2 linked regions of the Drosophila melanogaster genome follow. Changing the gene in region 1 together with any one later gene gives a genetic interaction. Each region holds a gene or a part of one and is shown on either strand. Other genes may lie near its edges.

The links. Genes that interact genetically often act in the same process or in processes that back each other up.
Region 2: of E2f1 (region 1) and Rbf, changing one suppresses a phenotype caused by changing the other (phenotypic suppression), as found in Drosophila melanogaster (5 studies listed by BioGRID).

Annotation. Positions count from the first base shown.
Region 1 is NT_033777.3:21,630,028-21,635,056, forward strand, and holds the start of E2f1 (E2F transcription factor 1), read right to left. Parts: upstream 3,047-5,029; 5' UTR 2,897-3,046; exon of another isoform or gene 2,106-2,896; intron 1-2,105. UniProt on the Drosophila melanogaster protein: Transcriptional activator that binds to E2f sites. Required for wild-type growth in mitotic and polytene tissues, Contributes to the expression of replication genes at the G1-S transition and Cyclin E.
Region 2 is NC_004354.4:796,544-803,444, forward strand, and holds Rbf (Retinoblastoma-family protein), read right to left. Parts: upstream 4,937-6,901; 5' UTR 4,243-4,936; coding exon 4,054-4,242; intron 3,975-4,053; coding exon 3,835-3,974; intron 3,774-3,834; coding exon 3,585-3,773; intron 3,523-3,584; coding exon 3,168-3,522; intron 3,105-3,167; coding exon 2,773-3,104; intron 2,471-2,772; coding exon 1,735-2,470; intron 1,600-1,734; coding exon 1,219-1,599; intron 1,150-1,218; coding exon 934-1,149; 3' UTR 547-933; downstream 1-546. Other genes in the region: CG13359 (uncharacterized protein), read right to left, coding at 5,402-6,883.

The DNA.
Region 1 (5,029 bases):
CGACTTTTGATAGCGCTGCCGCCTCCCCTCCCTTCACCTTTTCACTGCCACTACTCTGCTCTCACGTTCTCCGTGTTAATTTCGAATTAGTATAGCAACAATAACCGGCCGCAAGGTGTAGTGAAGATTGTTAAATTAACGGATCTTTACTCTTTATAACTTAAATTTAGTCTGCCCCCGAATAATAAATATGCCCAATTGCAGACATGAAATCTCAATTCACTAATTAATAAAATATTAGCTAAAATCCCAATTCGAATGCAACTAATGGCTGGTATTTAATTTGCAGCCATAACTGTATTCCTCTGGCATGCCAATTTACCGTTATTAATTATGAAGATCATGCATTTACATGGCTATTAATTATATACGTTGTTATGTATGCAGACTCACGCACACACAGGCATAAGCACAAGCACACGAAAACATACATATGTATGTACATGCATGCTCACTAACACCCACACAGATACCAAGAGCTAATAAAAAGTTTCGCTTTCTTTTTGCACATCATTTTGCATGCGCAGTAAAAAGGCAGGGACAAGTGAAATAAATACAAATAAATAATGTGCGAGTGTGCAAGGTGTTAAGCAACAACAATTGCAATAGAGGGAAAAAAGTGAATCAAAAGCCAGAAAAAGAGGAAGAACACGAATTTTGTGTATTAAGCGGCAGTCCAGAGAGAGAAAGAGAGAGTCTCCCACGGTGTGTGTGTGTGTTGGAGGGGGATGCTGCTAGGGAAAAGAGACTGAGAGTAAAAGCCGGCCTGAATCCGAATAACAGCTGTTACTCACAGACACAATCCACATGGAACATCTCTCTTCATCTTTTTGTTGTTGTTGGTCCCATGGATGCTTTTTTCTAGCCGGTTTTATTTTCTCTATCATCTTTATTTCATTTGGTCAATTACACACACTTGGCTTCTTTCTTATGAACCGCAAGGACCGAGACAGAAGGCAGCCACTTAATTGCACACTTACAGAAATGAAATAAGGTAATAGTAATATAAAATAAAACGGCTGTAAGCCTCGCCTTAGCTTTTTTCGTTTGAGAAAGCCAAAAATAATTGCCAACTGGCCAAGTCAAGAAAAAGAGAACGAGTAAAAGAGAAGGCGGCTTTTTGTCCAGGGAGAGGCGCACAAAATGCGTCGCAAAATATTTCGCCCACAGAAAACTGCAAACATAATGAAAGCCCGGGAAAGGAAAAATTATTGCGTGGGTGTGGAATATCAATGCCGGCAAGGAAAGCAGAATGAATTCCAGGGAAGTCCCCTTTGCGTTTCATACACCAAAATTTTGTACATAATGTACAAAACTTCATTTCGCCTGGCCATTTACGCGATGACGCATTTAGAGCCAATCGAATATTGTGTACTCACAAGGCCTGATAACAGGGGCCACACATAATGTACACACTATGTGGTGCAGTCGTCAAGTACATGCACAGATTAAAGCGGAAAACTGTTGATGCAAGTCCAATTAACCCGACGAAACTGGTAGAAGTAACCGGCAAATTCAAGACCACAGAAAATATTAAAGAGACAAATGATCTGAGATTTTAAAACATTTAGATCACTTTAATTTGTAAAACAAACACATTACCTAATTATTACATGTCTATTGAACATTTCAGTTGATATTTATGACTGCAGTGCAGCTTTAATTTTGCATTCCTCAGTATCCACGTCAACACAAAAACGCCAGTTAGTTGGCTAATATTGTGCTGGACGGTTTTACACAATTAATTTTAACTTGAAATGTATTTTTGTCCATATCTTCGAAGAAAAACCACGAGTTCTTCAAACTGTTACCTGCACTGTTGTCTTAACATCTAGTAAAATGTTAATCTGGGGGGCGCCATAAAGAAATCGCCGCCGACTTTGGGCAAATAGAAATAAAAACTGATGGACTCCGAATTTTCGATTCGTTATCTCTGAAAACTGGAGCGTTGGGGGATTGAATGAGTGAGCGAATGACTGCTATTCACCGTATCGGTTTTGGAGGTTATTAGAGGGCTTAGCCCAAAATTGAATGATTAATTGATCATCAAAGGTGAGGTGGAAACTCCCTTTGCTTCTTTTTTTTTGTCTTGTTTGAATACGCACCTAAAAATGGAATTTTTGTTGGTTTTACTTGCTTTCTATATATCACACGCAACCACAACAAATTGCTCTGCTTTTTTTTCCACCGCCGCCTGCTTCTTCTTGCTCTTTTTGAATATCACACACGTTTCATATTTGCAAATTTTTCATTTTTTTGCGGGCGTTTTGCCTTTTCTGTCGGTTACTTTTTGTATTCCACGTATAATGTGCTGCTGCTTCTTACTCGTTTGACTCAGTCTGTGTGTGTGCGAGTGTGAGTACGTCGGTGGTGTGGGAACTTTTAACTTTACTACGCGACGTTTTCGTTTCTCTTCTTTATTCTCTATATATTCTACGATTCTGTGCGTGACGTCAGCAGTTCGAGCATTTGTTGTAGATATCACATAATTGTTACACGCCCGCACTTTTATTTTATTTTATTCTTGATTTTTTAGAGCATTTGCTATTGCTACTCAGCGACTTGAATCTTTTACTTGCAGAGGCAGTCTTTTGCGGCTTTTTGGTTTTTCTCTCAGTTTTCCATTTTCACATTTTTGCGGACTGGCGACGAAAAGCGAACTGAACTTGGGCCACAAAGTGTGTTGTGCCGTGTCTTTTTTGGAGTCGCCGTCGCCGGCAAAACGCAATCCACACGCGGAGAAAGAGAATCGGAGAGACACGAGATAGAGAGAGAGAGCGAGAGAGGGAGTCGTCTTACGTCAGACGGAGAAAACGTAAGCACCACCGTAATGGCACTTTTAATACCGGCCACTTACGCTTAATTAGTGTATTAAACCACATTAACTTATCAATACCTCAGTCTTGTACTCTTTTCAGTTAGCTTTTCTATTTTTTTTCGGATTTTTCCGTCGATTTTCCCCTCGTAACGTGTTTTCTGCTCGCACATGTGTGTGGGGGCGGCAGCGGCAACAGCAGCGTCACGACGCGACAACAACACTGAACGCGGCGAATCGACAGAACAAGCAACGAGCCACAAAACGCACGGCGTCTCTTGTAGCGGCGAATTTGAGGCGTCAGCAGCTGAGCGCTCGCGGCACGAGAGAGTGAGAGCAGAAGAGAGTGGATCGTAAATTGAGTGGAGACAAAACTGATCAAACGATAGCTATTCGATATTACGATAGGTTGTCAATTCAAAAGGGAACGAATATTTTGGGTTATTAATATTTTGCAATGAATAAATACATTTGAGTGTTAAAAGAAAAATATAATTATTTATAAGCGAAGTTAAATACCTATAACAGCGCTGTTAATCACTTCCTGAATTGTTTTTTAAATGCTACATTATTTTACCTAATATCAGCTTTTAATTAAATCTTTGGTCCAAGTTTTATTTGAAGTTTTTAATTTTAAAATTCTGTTGATATAAAAACTAATGCTTGAAGCTAAGAGAACCACGCTAATTGCAGCGAATTAGCGGCAACAGCTGAGCACGAGAGAGAACGAATGTGGAGAAGGGGGCGGAAAGCGAAAGCGCAAGAGGGTGGAATGTGAGTGGCGCCGCTTCCTACTCTTCACATGTGGCATGTGGAAGCCAGACTCGAATGTTCGGTGAGAGCGGCTTTTGCTTTTGGCCCCCAACCCTTTTCGCTCTCTTCGGCTTGCCGGCTACAAATCGGCTAAAAATCGCTCAGACGGAAGTGGCGACGTCGCTGTTACCGCACCCACATCAACAGCGACGCCGGCAGAGAACCTTTCCCCTCCCGCTCAACCAACCGCTTCACCATCTTCTTTATCTTTATCAGTTGTGTGCCAAGTGTTGCATTGCGTTGCAGTGACGACATTGTTGTAGTTGCAGCAGCACAGCAGCGTTGCCGATTTTCAGCGCCCCATCAACAAGGGGTACACTTTTTAAGGCCGGAAATAGGCATTAAATGGGTCTATCGCATAACTCGACACTGTCGCACACAAATCTATTAATTTCTACGTATCATAAAAATTATGCCTGAGATTAAAGCCAAGTATGCTCATCTCACAGCTCACAGCTTAATCATATAATATACCTTAAAGATTTGCAACTTTATAGAGAAAAGTTAGTATTTAATTAAGTAAATACTAACTGAAGTGTAAAAATTCACCTATTTGCTGAGCAACTGACCTGATTAAAGAAACCTGCTCAAACATTTGACTTTCCATTCTTATATTATTTGTTATTCCACTATTAATCTACTTTAGTGCAAAAGCACTTTCTACTAAACAAACAATACTCATACATTCTGGAATAATGCAAAGTTTGTACTCATAAATATCCCAAAATCGCTACCATGTCACTTTTTCTAACAACAATCTGATTAAATATTTACAACTCATGCCCGCTGCCATTTGCATTCCTGGTTTTGTGTGCACAAATGTATCTCGCAAATCAGTACAACTTGCCAGGCGATCTGCGCAGTGTTTCCCATTCCCATAATCCCAAGCCCAGTAACTGAGAAACATCCCCCCCCCCTCCTACCAGAAATGTAATCTCCTTTCCAGTTTTCGATTTCTATTAACTTTTTAGGCAGTTTTTTTTTTTGGATTCGAGGCTGTTATCCTTTGGGTTTCTCTTGGGTGGGTTGCTGAGGCGAGGACACTCACAGATCCGTGAGTGTGATTTTTTTCACATTTCCCATAAGCCAGACCGGCAGACAAGAAGAAGAAGAAGAAGAATGAGAATACGAATATGAAGAAGAGGGGCGAGAATCACCCCTCACGGACGCAGAAAGAGAGGAAGAACTTTGGCCCCTGCGCCTGCCCCTTCCCCCTTCCCATCCCTTGCCCAACACATATGCAATTAGAGTATCTCTATGCTTGATTTTTTTTCAACCATTTTCTGCAAGATGGTTTTTTTTTTTCGCCTACCAGATAGAAGAGCGCAAGCGGGAACTTCCCACGATCCTTGGGTGGACTTTTGTACTTTGGAAGACATTTTATGTGCGCAGTGTCATAAA
Region 2 (6,901 bases), on another chromosome or scaffold:
GTGACACGAACATCAAGAACAACTCGGCTGCTCATCACTGGTGTGCGCTCTGTTCCGAATTAACGGTTGTGCTGCTTTCCTATTGGTCAATTGGTAACTGGAAAGATCGAAAGGGCTGCCAGCTGCAGCTTGCTAGGGATTCTGTTGGCCTAGTGTCTGGGACCCGACAGTTGTCTGCGAAAAATGTTGCCCCGTCGTAAATTTTGTCAAAAATTTGTGAATTCTCAGTGGCTGAACACCAGGCAAACAAAAATTGCCACATAGGGCAGACATCATAAAGTAACTAACGGTTTCTCCCCATCTTTGGCTTCCTATTGGTCGAATGGGCTGACTGGAAAAGCGTAAGGCGCAGCCATCTTGAAAAGGATCAGCTGTTTTAGTTAATTTGAGCGGCCAGCTAGCACCTGTTACTGTTTCTGTTCGCCTGGTGCCTGAAACTTGTAAAGGTGGCAATTTCGACCAGAGAAATTACGATTTTAAACATCCCATCCTTTGTACGACGACGTAGATCGACTACGAAAATGTTTAAATAAATACAATTAACATCAATTTGTAAAAAGTATATTTGTATATAAGCTTTTATATATAATGTGGATTGCATTAATTTGATTTGTTTTTTTGTTAGTGATTTTTAAATCGCGGGGAGTCGCGACCGATGGATGTGTGTGTGTGTGGTGATCAAGTATTTAGTACAACTATTTCAAAGTATTGGGTTAGCATATGAATTATATGGTTGGCTGGCGTTGAGCAAAATTAAAAGATGTGCTAAAATAGTTTGTTGAAATTAAGTTAAAATGTCAATTTAAGTTTTAATATTTAAAAAAAAACAATCATAAAATAGTCGAACGTGCGCCGGAGGGGCCAGTGTGTGGCCTTCTGCGCCGAATTTTTAGTTCTTGCCTTAAGTCTAGTCTGCCCCCATAAGCCCCGTGTCTATGTCTCGTGTTCTCCTCCTTCGCCCCCTACGCAACCTTCCGTGGTAACAGCAGTCTGCTGCTCGGCTGACTGCAGTTCAGGGTCGTCCATGACGGCCTTGACCTGGCTGATTTTCGAGCGCTTCGTCTCTGCCATTGTACCTAGTCCGGGCTCGTCGCCAAAGCTCAGCATGCGCTTGCCGCCGCGTACCTTTTCGTTCATAGCCTGAAGGTCCTGCGGGTATAGCAAGCGGATTAATCGATGTTATAGCTGAGGAGGTGGACGCAACTCCGAAATATTTACCTTGGCGGGGCTGCGGCAAAAACTGTAGACCATCTGGTTGGGCGACTGCTGTATCTCGTTCTTGGACATCTGCGACACGAACAGCGAGTGGCTCTGGGTTACCTTCTTGGGCTGGGCGGCCCGTTCCTTCGGATGCGGGGAGAGCTGTAGATCCGAAGCCCGGCCACTCACGTCCGGAGTTACGTTTAGGTAGTCGATGACGAACTGCCGCATCAGCGGCACGTAAGTGTGGTTGTAAAAGTGAATGATGTCCTTCACCTTTGGCTCCCCGTCCTCGTTGATGTCGATGAACACCTCGCGGTAGACGCTGTTCACCGCCTGCGGCTGGTTGCGATATGCCCGCATAATGTCACTGAACTTGGGGTCCTCCATTCGCTTTACCTGCGGGTTGTAAGGAGTTGCATGGATGTTATAAGTGGGTCTTCAGCTGCACACGGACGAATGCATCTGATTATGTGCATTTCAAAATGTATGCCAGCGAATCGGACAGAGATAGAATGTGGATGTGCTACTCACTCTTATGTAGATATATATTGCACACATAATATTTTGATCGAGGTGGCGGTCCTTCATCAATTCCGTCTCGTGGGTGATCGAGTGCTCAAAGATGTGCCAGATGCTCTCGGGCGTCTTCTCGCACAGTGACAGCTCCGAGCACAGCTTCTGGATGCGCAACCAGCCAAGCAGGTACACCTTGCGCAGGAATATCTGCAAGGGGCCGGCGGCGCGGTCGAGGTTAACCATGAGCCACGTGGGCAACGGCAGTTGGGCGGAGGCGATCATTTCCCAGACGGTCGAGTTCCTCGCCCAGGCCAGCCGCTCCAGACACGTCTCCTCGATGGAGTTAAGGTGCTTTATCAGCGACCGGTTCAAACAGCCTTCGTGCGAGCCGTGCCGCACCACGATCTCGATGATCTTTTGGAACTCGAACGCGCTAATACTGAAACAGTCGAGCACCCACGGGAACTTGAGCTCCGTTTTGTAGGCCTCCAGCACCAGCTCCACGCAGCAGGCCATCAGCGTGATGTTAAAGATGACCAGGGAGACCTTCTGCACCAGCAGTCGCTTGAGATCGATGTCGGGCTTGTTCCGAATTTCCGCCTGCAGGATCTGGTCGAGCAGGTAGAAGAAGAAGGACTTCGCTAGTTGGAAGCGACTCTTCGCCTCCGTTGACGGGTACTTGGCGAGGAATTTCTGCTCGATCTCCTCGATGATGCTAAGCAGCTTGGCTATTACCTCTTCGCCAGCTTGCCTGGATAAAGACAGGGCGATATCAAAACATGAGCTATAGAAATCAATCCCGGATTTAATCTAATCGATTCTTCTTACATCAACAGAAATTTCTATGGATGTGTGCTTCGGCTAACGAAATTCGATATTCGATATTTCCTACGATTTATAAAGCAATCAAATAAACATGAGTTTTGTTTACACGACGCCAACGACTTTCAGCCATTTGGACATAGAGATAAGCCTTTTCTCTCTCACAGGTTTTGAATGATAGTTAGGAACACTCGACACCCAACCCAAATACAAGGCCAGCCGGCAACTCACTTGACAAAGTCCGTGGGTTCTGTGATCCGTCCGAAGGCGCTCAGCTGCTTCACGTTGTTAGTGGCGTTGCGGACGGGCTCAAATTTATCGCCAGCCATCGCGGGCTGCGCAGGCAGATCTTGCTTGCGGGTAAGCGGAGTAACCGGCGGACGCAGGGACTGGTCGTTGAGGGCAGTGTGTTCCCCCGCATCGTAGGCACTCAGAATGCGTTCGTCGAATTCGCCGACGCTGAGGACGTACTGCTCGTAGCTGATGTTGAGGGACTTTAGGTTGCGCTCGAAGTTTTCGTTAGCCAATAGGCCTAACATAGTGTCCTTGTTGCCGTAGATGGTCTGGTCGAAATGAAAATAGAACAAATTAATTGTTTTAATGGAAATCCGAAACGGCACTCCTACCGAAGCCTGAAAGAAGCTCGACATGATCTGGCGGAAAGTGGTGGCCTTCATGGCTTTAGCCTCCTCGGTCATGTCACAGAAGTTGGACAAAATGCAGTGCGGATTGTGACGAAAGTCCAGCTCCGTCCAGTTGCTCGGCAGGCCCTCGAATTTGGGGTTGATGAGATCGGTGCGCTTCTCGGCCAGCACATTGTTGTATATCAGGTCTATGCAGCAAATCATCAGATTGTAGGATGTCACCAGGTCCACGGTGTTGCTCGGCTTCTGGTTCTTGGCGCAGAGAAACAGGCGCCAGCAGATGTCGTCCAGCTTGATGTACGAGCACTTTCCGTGGGCGTGGTTGCCATGCAGAGAACTGTTCCAAAGAGGGAAGCTTTTTATATACACGGGGTCAGGCTGACATGATGATATACGCACATGTACTTGGAGTGCTTCTTCTCGTTGGGCGGGCACGAGAAGATCATGTCCATAATAATGCGGAAACGCTTGTGCAGCATGAATGTAATGCTGAACTTGCGGTCCAGATCCTCAATCTCGTTGACAAACTCCTGAGGCAGGTTGGCCATGTCGCACCACTGCTTAATTTTGGTCTTGAACTCGTAGATGCTGTGGGTGGGGATTGTGGAAATGGTTAGGTGTGAAACTGCAGGCATAAACGGCAACCCACCTCATCTTGCAGCAGCGCAGCAAATTGTTTAAGGACACACAATTACCCTTGACCACTGCATTCTGGCCAGTCACCGTGGGTGTGCTGGTTCTTCGGCAGGCCGTGTAAATGGCGCAGCACATCCAGTGGCTGGCTGTGCCCTTTTAGGCAGGCAATGCACAGAAAGAATGAAAGAAAGGACGTTAGGTTGGAGGCTACTGCTGCCACTTCGAAGCTCACCTCCATGGAGCACCTCTGGGACACCTCTAAGTACGTCTCGTAGCCCTGCAGCTCTGTCTGCCGATCCATGTTTAGATCCCGGCATAGGTTCGTGTACTCGGCGTTGATCATCTCCAGGCGGTCGTCGCTGGTCGCCACCAATCCGCTGACCACCTCAGCTCCCAGTTCCTGCGGGTCAGGCTCGCTCATGTCTGCGAATGATGTCTCTGTCCCGGCTGATTGCGTATGCTTGCAGCGGCGGCCGCTGCTTCTGGCGACAGCCTGGAGTCGGAAATCGGAGACGGAGGCGCCTGAATTGGAGCTAGCCGGCTAACCGGGGCGTTGCGGGCCTGGCGCCGCTGTTTACGTCTAGTGGCCTGGCGCCTAGTGGCTGCCGGTGTATGCTGCGCTTGCCGCCGCGCTCCTCGCGGACATGTAACTGCGAGAGCTTACACTTAATTACAGAAATAATGAAGTTTCCCGCCGAAATGATTTGGGCGTGTGTGTTTGTGTGCGAGTGTTTGTCGCGTGTGTGTGTGTTCGCGATACACCCTTTTCTGAGGAACACAACAAAAGAGCAGGCGAGGGGACAGAACAAACAGCGCTGGGATGCTGCGATTAGCCAGGACCACACCACGGCCACGGTTGTTGGTTAAAACACATTAACAAAATAACTATTTCACAACTTAATCGCCATGGAAAACGCGGGAAACTTGACTAGTTGCGGCGGGCAGGTGCGTGTGATCCACTCCGCGTTCGAACTATCCACTTCTAGGGCTGCGCGGACGATGTGGCCCTAGGGATGGACTTGTGCAGAAGGAAAACTAATTTATTGCCACTACTTAAAGATTTTGCAATTGCGATTGCATAGTCAGAGTCTGACACGTTAATACAAGTTAATGGATTTTTAGTTGGGCGGCCGGTATTTCGCCAGCAAAGCCATGCGGTCACACCGACGCGCGCATTCGGCCAGTTTAAACGTGGTGGGGTGGTATTACTACAGTGCTTGGCGAGTTATGCAGTGACTGCAAGCAGTATGTCGTGTTGCATACATACCTAAATTGGGGGACCCTAAAATGAATTAGAACGAAATAATTGACAAAAATATGTGTACACATATAATTTATTTGCAATGCACAATGCTATTTGCATGTGTGCGGTAAACTGACAGTGTTGGTTAGCGTTCAAGAGCATTGCACATCGGCGATATAGCTAGTTGTAATCGATAGCCGCAAATTTAAATACTGCTTTGAACTTTATGGAAATTCGCGGGAATTCTTCGCGATTCAGCTACTAACATACATACATATACACTATACAATTTAGAGAACTTGCTGTCGCAGCACATACGACCCGAGCTACGACGTGGCTAACGTAGATACCGTCTTCTGAACCTCCTGGCCAGGAGGTGGAATAGCATGTGTCGCCGCATAAAGGCCGCCGTCAGACCTGCCGCCGTGGACAGCTCGTGGTTTTCTTGAGAATCGCTGGCCAGACTGGAGCTCTCGAAGGAATTGGAGGAATTGAAAGAGTCAGAACTCTCTGCCTGCGTATTCTGATCCGCACCAGTTCTAGCACTTCTCCAAATGGGTGTTGAAGAGCCGTCGGACTTACAGCCACTGGTGTTGGTTCTGGAGTTCGGGATCTGGGTTCTGTCGGGATGCTTCTCCAGCACAAGGCAATGCTGTCTTTTGAACGGTTGACTAGCAGACACACCGTACTTGGCTATCGCGCGGTTGAGCTCAGGATCGGGGATGTATGCACCGCGCGACAAAGACTCCGTTTTTCCGATCGATTTTCTTTTGGAAATATACCCGCTGACATATCTTTTTGGTCTAGAGAAACGTCTCGCGGAGGTTGCCTTCTCAATAGTCAATTTCCTCGCGGAGGTTGCATTGTCAATGGTCAAGTTCCTCGTGGATTTTGCCTTGTCAATAGTCATTTTCCTCGCGGAGGTTGCCTTCTCAATAGTCAATTTCCTCGCGGAGGTTGCATTGTCAATGGTCAAGTTCCTCGTGGATTTTGCCTTGTCAATAGTCATTTTCCTCGCGGAGGTTGCCTTGTCAATAGTCAATTTCCTCGCGGAGGTTGCCTTGTCAATAGTCAATTTCCTCGCGGAGGTTCCCTTGTCAATAGTCAATTTCCTCGCGTTGGTTGCCTTGTCTATAGTCAATGTCCCCGCGGAGGTTGAGTTGTCAATAGTCAATTTCCTAGCGGAGGTTGCCTTGTCAATAGCCAAGATCCTCGCAGAGTTTGCCTTGTCAATAGTCAAGTTCCTCGCAGAATTTGCCTTGTCAATAATCAATTTCCTTCGCTCCGCCTCCTCCGTCTGCAAAGTCTTGTGGTGCACCTCAACGCGATCCACAAGATTCTTGGCCGCCTTCTGATCAGCTAAATTCATCTCTGCACGCACCTTGCGGAGAGCAAGGCAGTCAATGATGCTATGACTCTGCCAAGTGACCTCCAGGTCGGCGGGGATTGGTGTTCCCTCTGACGCCAAGCAGCCCTGACTCGTCATTACTTGTTTCTGGCAAATGTCCATGAACTTGTCTCGCCGGCTAAGCAACGCGTGAGGCGCCAGGTCCACATCCCCCAGTTTCCGGTGATTAAAGTGGGTGATTAGTTTTCCGGTATGCGAATTTACCCCCACGACGGTTGCGACATCGAAGTGCTCTGGACAGCGTATGCGCATCTCGCTGAGCGAGCAGGCCAAATCCAGATTTGACCGGCACCACACTACCATATCCTCCTCGTCGTCCTGTTGCGGCTCGACATAGGGAATTAACCGCTGCAAGTTCGGACGCGGCGTTCCCACGTCGCAGAGGGCATTAAAAGATGCAGAGCATTTCATTTCTAAATATAAAATTTA